Rattus norvegicus: one gene and its partners. The protein of the gene in region 1 purifies or fractionates together with the protein of each later gene. This does not show direct contact. Links are inferred from orthologs where the notes say so. Each region holds a gene or a part of one and is shown on either strand. Other genes may lie near its edges.

Region 1 (3,567 bases):
ATAAAAATGTCTCTTGATCCCCAAAAGACTTAACTTTTGATGCAGTTTGCAGCTAAAATATGTTGAGATCATTTACGATTGGGCACTTAACCTATCCTGTTGTGTCTTCAGCTGTTGGGTCACTAGTCTACTGCTATGAAGAGACGTCATGACCAGGACAACTCTTACAAGGGAAAACATTTAATGTATGTGTGGGACTAACAGTTTTAGAGGGTCAGTTCATTATCATCCCAGTGAAGAGCATGGTGTCAGATAGAGAGACTTAGTGCTAGAAAAGTACCAGAGAACTTTACATCCTGATCATCAGCCAGCAGGCAAAGAGTGAGACTCAGCCTGGTGTGCAAGTTTGAAATCTGTAAGGGCCACCTCTGAAACCACACCCTCTCCAACAAGACCACACCTCCCAATCCTTCCCTAGAGTCTACCGACTGGGAAGCAAGCACTCAAAGACATGGGCCAATTTGGGGCCATTCTCATTCAAACCACACCAGCCTTTAAGAGAACAGTATAATCAACTTGCTTGAAACTTATATAATCAGCCTTTATAGCATAAGTGGATGCATGGCTTTAAACTTAAATTATATACTATTTCATGTCTCTGACCACATAATGTTTATGTGTGTGATGTGGTAGTAATTTGGTGAAAGCAGCCAGTAGGCTGACAGCAACCTTAAAAACAAAATCCACCATAAATTTTGAAAGCAACATGTGGGCAGAAACATGCCATGCTATGTGAAGTAATAAAAACTTAAAGCTTAAATTCTATGATCTCTTGGGAATTCAAAATATAACAATTAGGCCACACCTTTTCCTAGTGCTGACAGGCTTCCTGCTGAGATGAGTAAACCCAAAATCTGCATGCCATTTTTACTGATTTAGATTACTTTTTACTGTCCTTTGCATATTGATGATAAAGATTTGCTTTCTAAGTACTCACTCTCAATAATCAAGCACATATGGTCCTCATGTTATTAAGAAAGAAAATCAGTAAATAAAAGATGGATGATTTTTACTAAGTAAAGTTTATAAAGGATAAAATGACTGGATTTTCACAGAAGGGAGAACTAGAAAGTTTATTAAAGTTAAAATGGCTGATATTTTCAAAATTAAATGGAAAAGTAGAAAGTTTATACAAACTGTAATAGTATAGATCATAATTAGACAATAGGATATTTTTTAGAGGTATCATTTAAATTTTGTTAAACAAGTTACAAACTCATACAATATACAGTAGTATACACTTTTAAATATTTTCTAAAAACCAAAGGCTACTTAGTAATGAGTGACTGACAGTGGGTAAAGCATTTGCCAAAACATGAGGAGATGAGTTTAAATGCCCAGAACCCTGTAAAGTCAGGCATAGTAGTTCACACATGCAATTCCAGTGACTCTGTAGTGAGATGCGAGCTGGACACAGGAGAAGCACCTGATATCAACTGCAGTTAACAACAAAGAGATCCTGCCTCTGACAATATAGAAAATGGTGACTGACCCAAGTTTGTTTCCTAACCCCTCTCACCCTGAGGATGATAAGTAGGGAACCACATTCACAAATACAAAAAAGAGAGAAGACTTAAACTAAGATATGTGAAAGTATATATTCATTACAGAAAAAGGTATATAATATTTGTATATTATTATTGATACACACATATTAATGAACAGCTTTTCTTGGAAAAAGAAAAAGGACCTTGAGAAGAGGTGGATTACACATCCTATAAAACTAATACTAGAGCAATGTCTTGGTCCCTTTATGTATGTCTGTAACAAAATACCTTATACATGATTCTAGTATCTGTAAACTCAGAACAGCATGGTATCTGATAAGATCTCCCCAGATACGTTACCATGTGCAGAGGCATAAGAAAAAGGAATTGCGTGCAGAAGGGGCACACGTATAGCAAGAAAGCAAGATTACAGAGGTATCGTGCTCATTCTTATAAGAACGTACTCCCTGGAAACTCATCTGCTCCTATGAGACTTATATTAATCCACTCCTGAGAATAGAGCTCCTGTAATCTAATTACCTACTACCAGGTCCAACCTCTAAATGATTTTACCACTTTACCACTGTTACACTTGTGTAACATATGGGGAAATATGCCTATAAATCCAGAGCTCAGGAGCCTGAGGTAGGATCACCATTTGCTGTGAATTCCAGGACAACCAGTTCAGAGTGAGACTTTATCTCAAAAACAAGAACAAAAGCAAACAACAAGCAACAACAACAGCAAAAATAAAATAAAATCCCCACTAACAGAAAAGAAATTAATAAGTTTCCAAGAATAACAAGTTATTTTTTACTTTGATGTTTCCTTGTCATTCATGCTATGCAAGTTATTAATTTGCCTTCCATATATTCAATTTCATTAAATTTTAACTTCCATGCCCAGTCAACTTTTCTCTCAAAGCTCAAAACAAAAAATACACCAAACATTGGATACTTACTTAAGATTCCTTCTACAGAATCATGCTGAATAAATTTTACGCCTGAAATTTTAACATCCATACCCGTGCAATCCACAAAAGTATCTCCTTTGCCCCTCTTTTCAATGATGATATCATCTGGGGGACCGTATCCTATGGAAGAGCGTGAAACGACTTAGGAAGAATGAAGGAAAACATCTACATGCAAAAGATTAAGAAGATCCAAAATAACAACTGATGAGTGAACAGTGAAAATGAAGCACGTATTCACAATGTAATTCCATACAACCTAAGAAAGGAAGAGAGTAAATTTGCAGGAAAATGGATAGAACTAGAAATTATTACACTGAGTGGAATATCCGAGGGCCACAAAGGGAACCCCAAATTTCTTTCTTGAATAAATAGCCTCAAAATTTAATTTTTTTAAAATTCAAATTCTTTACAGAGGCAAGAAAGATTCCACGAGCAGAAGAAGCACTGAAGGAGGAGGGAGTCAAACACAGGGACTGGAAAGTAGGGGATGAGGCGTGAAAGGGTTTGGGCAGGGAAATAGGGGTACTGGGAAGATAGGGAAAGGGAAAGAAAACTGAGAAAACATAAAAAAGCTATACGGAAACCTAGTGCTTTATAAATAATAATAATTATTATTATTTTATGAATTTAAATAAGAAAAAAGAAGCTTTTAAATAAGAGTCCAATACCAGATATGGGATACTGTCCTGTGACTTGTGGGCAGAAGGTTTCAGAAGTCAACAAAAGAACACAGGCTGTTGTCATTGCTCTTAGTCAGCCACTACAACGTGAGAGTAACATATCTTAGTTGTAGGACACAGAGATATGGAACTGTGTAGAAAATGCCCTCTATGCTTGCTAAGGTTCACAGTCCCAGAAGGTGCTATCCAGGGCACTAGAAGAACCTTGTCAACAGTCTCACCTACCTGTTGATCACGCGCGATAAAACACACCGGCCAGACACGATATGCTCACTGATACAATGGTAGCTTGGCTATTTTGGGAATAACTAACTGCTTTGTAAGTGGACATGCAGTCTGTGCCTCAGGATAGATTACCAGGTATGGTACTCTAAACCTGGTCTCCTGGTCCCAAGGGAAAAGCACACTACCTTTGTCAACAAAAATG
Region 2 (3,567 bases), on another chromosome or scaffold:
TATCCCAGCTCTGAGAGGCTCAAGGAGGAGGAGCCCATGTACTTGGAGGCCAATCTGTGCAACCCAGCAACACTGCCTCAAAAACAAACAGTTCTCATCTGAAGAATGATTGAGTAAAGCAAAAGTAAAAGACCTTCAGATTTAACTCACCTAGCAACTTTATCCTTATTTTACTAACCATTAGTAACTAAGGGATTCTGAATATCCTTTGAAATGCAACTCAGTAGGAGCCACAGAAATTCTTTTATCAATTATAGCCTCGACCAGAGTCCATGTGATTTTTCTAATAGTGAGCACCCTGACAGTCGTGGACATGAGTCTGTTTTCAGCTTAAGGGTTTTCTAAATCCAGCGGTTTCCACAGTAATGTCCATTTACACATATACACAAATGCTATATGTAAGACAAAGGGCTTCATATTATTATGTTCTAACTGGCTGCAGTAAGAATAAAACCACCCACGTGCACTGGTCATTTGACACAAGACTTGTGTGTCAGCTCTGGAACAAAGAGAGGCACACTAATGTAAAGCTACATGGTAACTGGTCTTCTGATTCTGCAAGGCAAGACCCATAGCCCCTAAGGAGTATTTACCTCTGGCAGAATGATAGTAAAGTATGGCTTTACACTGATTCGCAATGGATGAGCAAAGAATTACTTGTTCAGACAAGTATCCATTCCACAGAGATCACCGAGACACAGATAGCCAAAAAGGCTGCAAACTTCCAGCACTGTCAGGGTGCTGATAGGTGCCCCAAAATTACCTATAAAGGCTAAATTTTCAAAAGCAATTTCCAAGATCTTCAAGTTACTCTGCCTTAACCCACTGGTTTCCTAATACAGCTACAATCTAAGTACTGCCAGGCAGTGATGCACACGCCTTTAATCCTATCACTCAGAGGGCAAGGCAGGCAGATCGCAGGACTGTACTCTCTTCATTTCTCTCTATAACTTAACCCAGATATTTCTTGAGGCAGAGTTCCAGGACAGCCAGAGATACACAGAGAAACTGTCTCAAAACAAGAAAAAGGAAGAAAAGTATTCATTGAACATGACTATATGATTATTATTTCTGTGCACCCTGAAAATAAATGCAAGCATCATCCCCATCTATACAAGAAGCCATGACTTGCTTGGGGTAGCTTTCTAGGTTAACTGAAGACTCTTGTACTTACTTGGGCTTTATGGGATCAAACTGCACTTCTTCCAATAGATCATATAGGTAATTATTATAGATTTCAATGTAAGAGACAAACACTCCATAGACACTGTCTTCATCAACTTCTTCTGCTTTGCAGAATTCTTGTACATTTATCATATCTGCAAACTCTGGATCTGCTTGTCGCCTACAATGAGAAAACAGATCCCCTAACTTCAAAATGTACCCACTATGAGTTAAGATAAAAAGTAGATAATGGCTGTGTGGGATAGTTCTTTGTCAACTTGACACAAACTGGAGTCTTTGGGAAAGGGGGCTTTCAACTGGAGAAAATACTTACCTCTATAAAACTGGCCACCAGGCAAGTCTATCTAGCCTTTTCTTGATTAATGACTGATGTGTGTGGTACCAACCCTGGGCTGGTGCTCCTGGGTTGTATAAGAAAGTAAGCTAAGGGGCTGGAGAGATGGCTCAATGGTTAAGAGCGCTGACTGCTGTTCCAGAGGTCCTGAGTTCAATTCCCAGCAACTACATGGTGGCTCACAACCATCTGTAATGAGATCTGATACCCTCTTCTGGTGTGTGTCAGAAGACAGAGACAGTGTACTTATATATAAATAAATAAAATTAAAAAAAAAAAAAAGAAAGAAAGAAAGAAAGAAAGTAAGCTAAGGGGCTGGAGAGATGGCTCAGCGGTTAAGAGCACCCGACTGCTCTTCCAGAGGTCATGAGTTCAATTCCCAGCAACCACATGGTGGCTCACAACCATCTGTAAATGGGATCTAATGGCCTCTTCTGGTGTATCTGAAGACAGCTACAATGTACTTATATATAATAAATGAATAAATCTTAAAAAAAAAAAAAAAAACGGAAAGTAAGCTAAGCAAGCCATGGGAGTAAACCAGAAAACAGCACCCCTCCATGGCATCTGCATCAGCTCCTGCCTTGAGTTCCTGCCCTGACTTCTCTCAGTGATGGACTGTTACTTGGAAATGTAACAGGAAGATAAAATAAATCCTTTCCTCCCCAAGCTGCTTTGTTTAAGGTATTTTATCACAGCAATACAATGATATCACATATATCAGAGCAAAAGCAAACTCTAATGATGTTCTGTCACGTAGGGCTGAATTCATAAGCAACTTTATTTGAATTTAAGGTGAGTCAAGGACACTCTAAGCCCTTAAGATTCACAACACAAGAACTCACCTTCCCCCTACTTGGACGTATTCTCTTGAAATGAGATAAAATATCTGAGCAGTCAAGAACATGCCTCAACCCTGACCTCACAAAAGTCAGCTGTAAGACCAACTTTTCTAATTCGTACTTACCTTCTCCGGACCTATAGAAACTGTAGGACAGAATTCCACCCACCCTAGGTCACAATGAAGTCACTCACTTGCTAGAGGGGGTCTTTGGAATGGGCATGGCTTCTCTTTTCTGCCGTTCTAACAAGGCATCGACTTCACACTGTATTTCCATACTGTTCCTATCATTAGACTTAAACACCTAAGAGAGAGGCAAAATAGACTTGAAAATAACTTTAAGGAACAGAACCATTTGAAAATAGGAAGCATTTAAACATTTAAACCTGGGGAAAGGGCACAAGACTCAGGGGCCCTGCAGCTCCTGATCCTCTTGTTTATACCACAGGCATGCAGCCACCACGCCTACATCAAGTATGTAAGAGTCAAAGTAGCTCTAATGTCTTTGTCTTTCCTCAGCATCACTGCATCCATAGATGCCTCAGCCCTGTGTCTATAGTAACAGTCACAACCCAAAGGAATTGTACTTACGAAACGTTTTGCTTGAAATGACCCTATGCTGTTAAAGATCATATTCAAACAACGAGGAAGCAGGCCTCCGGACCCTGGAGACCCTGTCATTGTGTAGGTTTTTCCACTTCCCGTCACACCATATGTAAATAAAAGACCTAAAGTATGGCAAGTAACAATGAGTTATAGTCTTAAAGCCCCACATAACATGTCGTTTATTTAAAACGCTAAAATTAACAAACCCAAAAAAGGGCACTCTGATGAGTTAAATCTGAATTCAATGTCAAACCAAATATATGAATATTAAAAAGTTTTATCACAAGATCAAACAGGGAATTCAATTAAACTCCAAGAGTCATACCATTCTTGCCATGAATGAGGTCATCTACCAAGGGACTAGCCACAACATCAAAAAGCTCCTTCTGGGTGGTGTGCGTGCCAAATACCCGCTTAAATGAGTACTGAGTCTGTGGAGAAAAGAAAAACATCACCACATGGAATTCCATTAGATTAGAGCTGTATCTGTTCTACACTTGGAATGTTTCTGTTATGAGCATTTCAAACCCAGACATGTTAAAAAAAATCACCAAGAATGGTCTTTAAGCTTGGAGCCTTTCGTAGTCACAATATACATAAA
Region 3 (3,567 bases), on another chromosome or scaffold:
ACACAAGTTCAAAGTCATCCTTGACTACTGTGAGATCCAAGCAGCTTGGGCCACATGAAACGCTGTCTCAAAAAGGGAAAAAAATAAAAATTACAGTAATGGCTACCACTAAAACCGGTGGGCAACAATTAGATGAACTCCTACAGTTTCAAACACCTTCCTGCAAGATTCTTATTAGTTACCAAGGCAACAGTGTCTGCAGCAGAGACAGCCTTGTCTCCCTGACACTGAAAAGAGCAAACCCTTCACAGCATTCTTGCTCAGAATGCAGAACCTCAGTGCAATCCTGAGGAAGCATCAAATCCAATGGAAATCAACTCATCAGTGCCAAAAGTGTCAATCAAGGTCACAAGACAAAAGGAAAAACTCAGAGACTGTCACAGGCTGGAGGAAACTAGGGAGCCAAGGTCACTAACTGGCCCGTGAGGTACTGACTTGTATTCTGGTGATGTAATGGGAAATCTGGTTGATCGATGTGGGGCCTGGGCTTTGTTGACAGGATTATCTTGTAGCTAACACTTCAGTTTTGGTAATTCTGCTATGCTTAAAGAGAGATGCTGACTGTGGAAGAAGCTGGGTGGAGGGTACACAGGAATTTAGCTTTATTTTGTCTTTTAAACTTTTGTATAACCCTAGCATTACTGCAAAATAAACCAAGTAATTGAGTCAGGTATGAAGCACTCATTTGAAATCCCAGCACCTGTCTCAAAGCACCAAAAACAAAACTAAGCCACCCTAGCCTCTTGCCTAAAAATGGAAATCTAACCGAAACAGATGCACTGAGAATTTTATACTAAACACTAGTTTTATAACTAACTCCACAGAGAACAAAGCCTACAAGCTACCTCTCAAAGACCATAGCTCTTAATAAAATATATTAACGAGAAATAAGACTACATGGGCTGGAGAGACGGCTCAGCAGTTAAGAACCTGACTGCTCTTCCAGGGGTCCTGAGTTCAATTCCCAGCACCCACATGGTGACTCACAACCATCTGTAATGGGATCTGATGCCCCCTTCTGGTGTGTCTGACAGTGTACTCACATACATAAAATAAATAAATAAATCAAAAAAATAAGACTACATGATGATGATGATGATGATGATGATGATGATGAATACAGTGGCACAGTCCCAAGCCCAGCACTGTGGAGGGTAAGGCAGGGGGATTTCAAACCCGAGTCAGCATGGTGATAGTCTGTCTCAAAAAAAGAGGAGGAGGGAGGGACAGTAAAAAACAGAAAAGCAAACACTGCTGCCAGGCAAGGTGGCTCACTCACACCTTTGCTCTTAGCACTTGGAAGGCAGAGGCAGGTGGATCTCCTGAGTTGGAGGCCAGCCTGGGTTATATAGTGAAGCCTTGTTTCCAAAAAGGAAAAAAAAAGGAAACAAAACAAAAAGAGAGAAAAGAACAAGAAAAAAAGAACCTTTACAGCACTGTGAGATGAATGCTCAGTCCTGAAGCTGATGCTGGTGTCTGTCACAGCGCGCAGACGCTTTCCTCGAGGAAAGCTCGCTCTCAAGCAGTTAAAGAAACACATAGGGCTGATGATGCATCAACAGAATGTAAGCAGACTGGGAGAGCATTTGTCCCTCTACCTTTTTATAAGTGTGGACAATGATGAATATTAGAATATGAATCAGAAAGACTCTGATCTCTAAAGAGCTCTAGACACAAAAGCTATCCAAGCAGGGGCAAGGGATGCTGGAGTTTTGAGGAAAGATGCATACTTTAGTACAAGAGTAAAATGGCAGACTCCTGGAGTTGGCTGTCTCGACTTTTCCAAAGTGAGATGAGCTGATACAAACCTGCAATTCTGTAGTCAGCAGGGCCCTAGACAGGAGGACTGATTTCAAGAGCAGCCTGGGTGACAGAAAGACCTTTTCTTGACAAAGCACAAACACTCAGAGAACAAAGGGTGCTTGGAGTGACCAGGGTTGGGCATGCTGAGAATGAGAACTGAGGATAGGTACCACGGCATGCTCCATGTATGCACCAGAAAACTTCCAGCTTTCTCCAAACTGTGCAAGGGAGATCTTAGGTACTCTTTACATAGGTTGATTCAGTTGGTTTTTCCTGCCAAGGGCGGAGGGCAGAAGGGCCCAGGGGAGGGATGAGGCAGTAAGGCACACACACCCTGAAATGTACCCCGGAAACCTGGGCTCTCTTCTGCCCGGACTGATCTTACCTTTATTAAGGACTGTGAGAGGCTTCCTGTTGCTGGGGTCTAGGCTGCTGGGAGCTATTGAAAACCTTGGTGGGATGGTGAGGCAGGTAATAGGCAGACGGGCGGGGATGTAGCCGGAAGTGAAGAACTCGTCATTGAGCAACTCGTGAATGGTGGGGCGGGCAGTGGGGTCTGTCTGAAGCATTTTCTGGATGAGGGAGGCAGCCACTGGGTTGATGTGCTGGAATGGAGAGGCAGAGCCGAAATGAGAGGAGACAGGGACCCTAGCCAGCATGCGGCTGCTCCTGTGTATAACATACCACTGCTCAGTGGCCCTGAGTTCCACCAAGTCCTCCACCCAGCCTTAGCAATATTGATAAGAAGGATCATTTCTTGCCACTTGGCACTCAAGATTAACCTGGGATACCCACCCCTTGCCCTTTCAAAGGACATTAAGTTATCTACAAGAGGGCACCCAGGTCCCAAGACCTGCCTAGTTCCACCCCCTTGATTCCACCTATAACAAATAACCTGGGCTTTCTGAAGCCTAACAAGGCAGACCTATAAAATGGGGAACCCCTCCAGGATGACTTAATGAGAAAAAACCTAACACGGGCCTGTCCCTCACAGCATTAATTCTTGCTTATGCACTCCTGTACAGTACCCATTTGGCCCTCACAAAAACACCTAAAAGATTCTCTCCTCCCTTTCCCTCTCTATATAATTAGAAAGGAAACAGGGTCTCACTATATAGCTAAGGCTATCTGGAACTTGCAATCCTCCTGCCTCAGCCTTCCAAGTGCTAGGACTACAGGTGTGTACATCTCCACTATTAGGCCTCACTTATAGATGAGGAAACAGGAGTGCCCTGTCTGAGAATACACATTGCCTCAGTAAGAAAGCCAGGACCAATTATACCACAGCAGTCCATGCTGTCTGCAGTGAGCTGACCTTCTGTGACATCTTCTCTATGTACAAGTCAAGGATGCTGACTTTAAAGTGCCTATGAGAACCAGTCCCCAGAAATGAGCTATCCCTGCAAGTGGATTTATGACACTGGATGTGAAAAGGGATGCTGCTCTGTCATTGGGAAGCTCTTGGGGAAACTCCCACTTTGCAGACGCAGAGCCTGGTTCATGAGAGTAAGACCAACTCCTTTGTTAGGCGCAGCACAGCTGGATGGAGATGGTGCGTGTTCCAGGTGTAAGAGTGTTTGCCCCCTCTCCCCCTGCTCTTTACATCCCCCTCAGGAAGTCTAAAGACATGGGCTGGGCACGGGGCTCTGGTAGAGTGCTTGCTAGTACACCAGAAAGCCAGCCTGGTGGCAGGCACATGCCTGTAATCTCAGCTCTTGGAAGGTAGAGCAGAAGACTCTGGTGTGCAAACTCAACGTACAGTGT
Region 4 (4,149 bases), on another chromosome or scaffold:
TTAGTCAGATGGAGGTGAGGGAAGGGGCTGGAAGAGTGTCTGGGGCAGATGGGACTGCAAGAGTAAAGCTCTGGATGCTAGGTGTCACTTGGTGCACTTCAGGACCTGTAAACAAGATGGAGGGCAGTTAGGGAGCAGGGAAGCACAGGTTAGGGGAGCCATTAAGGACCCCATCTTTTTTTTAAGGAGGGGAGGTGAAGTGATTAATGGTTTTCAGCAAGGAAAAGCCACGGTTAGAGCTGCTTTTTTGTTTGTTTGTTTGTTTGTTTGGTCTGGAGCTAAAGTAGCAGAGGCTGGTCTTGATCTCTCAGCCTCCACTCCTTAAGTGCTGGCGATTATGGGTGTGTGCCACCACACCCACACAGAACTGCCTTTTAAAATACCAACTGTTGTAAAGAGCTCAAGGGCACAGCTCCCCTGGTGGTTTGAGAACTGAGGCAGACTAGGCTGGCCTTGAGTTTACAGACATCTGCCTGCCTCTGCTGTGCTGGGCTTAAAGGCATATGCCTGGCTCACCCTTTCTAGTAAGCTCTAGCCAGCCAGTATTTTGTCAAATTGCAGGTAGCCACACCTTCCAGTAATTAGTAAATTCAGGAAGGAAGGGACTCCAACACAGAGAAATAACAACAACAACAAAAGAACAGAAACATCGGGAGTACACTAATAGATTAAGATGAATGGTTGTATATTGAGTGCATTTCTGATGTTGGGCCCAGATCTTTAAAAGTTTCAAAGCCTCTGTACCAATACAATGCCAAATTTTAAGTGCCATTTATTAAATGGAATTATAACACTTCATTCTGCACTTCTATTTGTTTTCTTGAGCTGTCTCACCCATTCATAGCTACTGGAAAGCAGAGACCACATGATCTGTATTTTTTTCTGATCTCTAGCAGAGTGCTTGCTATGAAGTTGGCATACTTACTGTGCATCAAATAGAAGTCTGAATGGATGCGTGAGTGAATGGGGGGGATAATTATAGCTCAGTAAATATGGTTAAAATGATTGTTGCTCTGTCTCCTTCTGGAATTCTTCCTATTCTACAGTGAGACCCGAAACTATTCGGTTATTAGTTTCCAAGAGTCCTATTTGTCTGCCTGGGGAAACATGGAGGCAAGAATAATATGCAATTAGTCAACAGGTCATTAGAATAATTGCAAGAAAGGGAGCCGTAGCCGGAGCCTGGAGCGGGAGTCCTACACAGGCCATGAAACACCCACTACTCCCGCAAAAGTGTGCCCACAGTCAAAATGGCCGTCTTTCGGCGTCTCGCTAATGTAATGCGCACGCTCTTCCCGTTTTGCGCCCGCCCCCTGGCCCTAACACGTGCGTCGCCCAGAGCATGATCTCCTCTGTGATTGGCTGCTGCGCGATTTTGAACCGGATCCGGCGGCGCGGTTTTACACTGCCGTTAGTGAGGCGCGCAGCTGGTGGACAGCAGCCCTCCTGGGGCGCGGCGGCCGGAGAGTAAGCGCCGCGGGCCGAACAGGGTTGCGTGTGCGCGGGGCCGGGAGCCTCGGTAAGCGGGTCGAGGCCGCGAGCGGGCGGCGGAGGGAGGAGGGGGGCATCTGGAGGGGTCTGCTCTCGGCGTGGGGCTGCGCGTTAAGTCGGGAGCGTCCTTTTGAGGCGTGGCCCGACGGGTGCGGGTGTGGTTCCCTCAAGGTGGTCTTGGCGAACTCTAGTGCGGGACGTGGGAGTGGCCGGGAGCGAGCCCCTCTCACCCTTTTCCGAGGAGCAGTCTCTTCTGCGGGAGAAGTCAGGTGTTTGAGGAACCTGGCGGCCTACAGTGGAGAGCCTCTACCTTCTTGGCTGTCTCCCACAAGGCTAATTAGAACATCCCTATATGTGGAGAGCTAGAATGCTGCAAATGCGGAGCCTATCTTTTTCAGCCCTCCTTTTAATAATAATTTATCACCTATTTCTGCCACTGACCTAGCTACCGTTCTGCGATTAGCATGGGAAACCCTTTGGGGGTGTATTACTTTATATTAACAGCCTCCACCCACAGAAAAGCTACGACTGTAATCTGGCAAGCCTCGGAAACCTTCTTGAAGCGCCCACCAAAGTTTTTTTAAGCGTTCCTTGATTTATGACTGTTCTTAACTATAAAACTTAATGAGAATGATTATATCAGAACATGGTATTTATTTAGGTAACCTGGATTCATGGTCACGAGCCAGGGTCACTTATATTTGGCTCAGGAAGGAACACTCATTTCTCTTGGGATGAGAACTTTGTTTTTGTGCCTCAGAAAGAGAGGGAGGGAGAGAGAGGGAGAGACGGACTGCAGTACTCCCAATAGTGTATTGGAGGGTTATTGGAGTTACTGTTCTATCACACTCTGTGTGTGTGTGTGTGTGTGTGTGTGTGTGTGTGAGAGAGAGAGAGAGAGAGAGAGACAGACAGACAGACACACACACACACACACACACACACACACACACACACGGTGTCTTATGTAGCCCAGGTTGGTCTGAGACACACACACACACACACACACACACACACACACACACACACACACACACACGGTGTCTTATGTAGCCCAGGTTGGCCTCTTGTATCCAAGGATAACCCCGAACCTCTGATCCGCCTGTCCCTGGAGTGTTGGGATTACAGGACAATTTGGAGATGACACGTGTGATCCACCATTCTCAGTATTTGCTGTGTTGAGGACAGAAACCAGGGGCTTGTCACTCTAGGCAGGCATGGTGTCAGCTAAGGTATAGGCCAGCACAATGGTACATTTAAGTTCAAGTAAGATTCTTCTACTAACCCTTAAGAAACTGTTGACTGCACATCAGGCTGCTGGGGTGCAGTAAAGATGGGGACTCTTGTGCTGTTAGACCTCAGTGCTGTCTGCTGACCAGCTTAGCTTCTGGGTTGATGAAAGGTAGTTATTTTTTGGTTTGTCTTTTTTTTTTTCCCCCCTGGAACTCAGAGATCTGCCTGTCTCTATGTCTCCCAAGCTTTGGGATTAAAGATGTCTGCCACCATTCCCCTTGGTAAAAGGTAATTAATTCAGGCCAAAATTTCATCTGATAGCAGCAAGGAGGTGGCTGGTGCATTAGTGGGGTAAAGAGATGACTGAGATAGTTTGGCTGCAGATCTAACTCTCCACAAATACACAATAAATCCCTCCCACCCACCCAGCTGAGGACCCAGTGCTAGGCAAGCTCTCTACCACTGAGCTAAATCCCCAACCTGCCTTATAGAATTCTTAACATTGGCTTTTTTCCCCTGGCTTTTTTCAGTTGACAAAAATTTCTACTCAATATAATAGCCTTGCTATATTATTTTGGCTGGCTTCTGTGTGAGGGTGTCAGATCCCCTGGGGATGGAGCTACAGACAGTTGTGAGCTGCCATGCCAGTGCTGGGAATTGAACTCAAGTCCTCTGAAACAGCAGCCAGTGCCCTTAACCACTGAGTCATCTCTTCGGCCCCCCTCCCCGCCAATATAAGGTTTTTATACCGTGCTACATTAATCAAAAACCTGTCGTTGCAAGGACTCACCTTTGAACCTGAGGAAGAAAACTGGCCATGAGGAGGCTCACTCAGTGAGTGTCAGGTCACCTACCAAGCATTGGTAGTGGGCAGTGTTCTAGATACCAGTGGCTCTGCTAAGTCCTTGCTTTCCAGACAGTAAGTAAACATGTTAGGTGGAGACAAGCACTCTGGAGCAGAATAAACCAGGAGTTACAGAAAAGGCTGAATTTAAAAGTGTGGCTGGTGGAGACTTCATTGAGAAGTAAATTCCCAGGGGTCAGGGAGAAGGGGACGGAATGGGATGGGTGACTGCCCATGCTAGAGACTTCTGGCAGAGGGTAACTGAAAAACTGAATCCAAAGAGAACGAGTAGACCAATGGTAGCCCATCGACTCTGTGATGCTTGCTCAGTGCAAACAAGATGCTAACAATCAAAAACTGTGTGCCCCGAGCGAGAGTGTGGTGGGCACAGGGCTGGATGAGGGGGATGAGGTTTGTGTTTTGAGGCAGTGTTTTATGTCTGCCTAAGTTGAAGTCATTAGGAAAAGGCTTCAGTGACTGCTAAGGCAGACTCTGGGTAGGCCTCACAGGAGACAGCAGCAGTGTGCCGAACTTACCTGTCACATCCAGTTCTCCTTCACTCTGGCCTTGACTCTTATTGA

What was found.
Region 2: the proteins of Shcbp1 (region 1) and Kif23 purify together in Homo sapiens (affinity purification with western blotting; 9 studies listed by BioGRID and IntAct, with this or other methods). This does not show direct contact. The link is inferred for Rattus norvegicus from reciprocal best matches to the Homo sapiens genes SHCBP1 and KIF23.
Region 3: the proteins of Shcbp1 (region 1) and Plk1 purify together in Homo sapiens (affinity purification with western blotting; 3 studies listed by BioGRID, with this or other methods). This does not show direct contact. The link is inferred for Rattus norvegicus from reciprocal best matches to the Homo sapiens genes SHCBP1 and PLK1.
Region 4: the proteins of Shcbp1 (region 1) and Racgap1 purify together in Homo sapiens (affinity purification with mass spectrometry; 8 studies listed by BioGRID and IntAct, counting the BioPlex papers as one, with this or other methods). This does not show direct contact. The link is inferred for Rattus norvegicus from reciprocal best matches to the Homo sapiens genes SHCBP1 and RACGAP1.

What each region holds. Positions count from the first base shown.
Region 1 is NC_086034.1:91,394,368-91,397,934, reverse strand, and holds part of Shcbp1 (SHC SH2 domain-binding protein 1), read right to left. Parts: intron 2,581-3,567; coding exon 2,449-2,580; intron 1-2,448. UniProt on the Homo sapiens protein: May play a role in signaling pathways governing cellular proliferation, cell growth and differentiation. May be a component of a novel signaling pathway downstream of Shc. Acts as a positive regulator of FGF signaling in neural progenitor cells.
Region 2 is NC_086026.1:71,310,541-71,314,107, forward strand, and holds part of Kif23 (kinesin-like protein KIF23), read right to left. Parts: intron 3,398-3,567; coding exon 3,292-3,397; intron 3,089-3,291; coding exon 2,952-3,088; intron 2,665-2,951; coding exon 2,555-2,664; intron 1,346-2,554; coding exon 1,175-1,345; intron 1-1,174.
Region 3 is NC_086019.1:186,150,625-186,154,191, reverse strand, and holds part of Plk1 (serine/threonine-protein kinase PLK1), read right to left. Parts: intron 2,409-3,567; coding exon 2,189-2,408; intron 1,078-2,188; exon of another isoform or gene 1-1,077. UniProt on the Homo sapiens protein: Serine/threonine-protein kinase that performs several important functions throughout M phase of the cell cycle, including the regulation of centrosome maturation and spindle assembly, the removal of cohesins from chromosome arms, the inactivation of anaphase-promoting complex/cyclosome (APC/C) inhibitors, and the regulation of mitotic exit and cytokinesis.
Region 4 is NC_086025.1:132,656,932-132,661,080, reverse strand, and holds the start of Racgap1 (rac GTPase-activating protein 1), read left to right. Parts: upstream 1-1,342; 5' UTR 1,343-1,519; intron 1,520-4,149.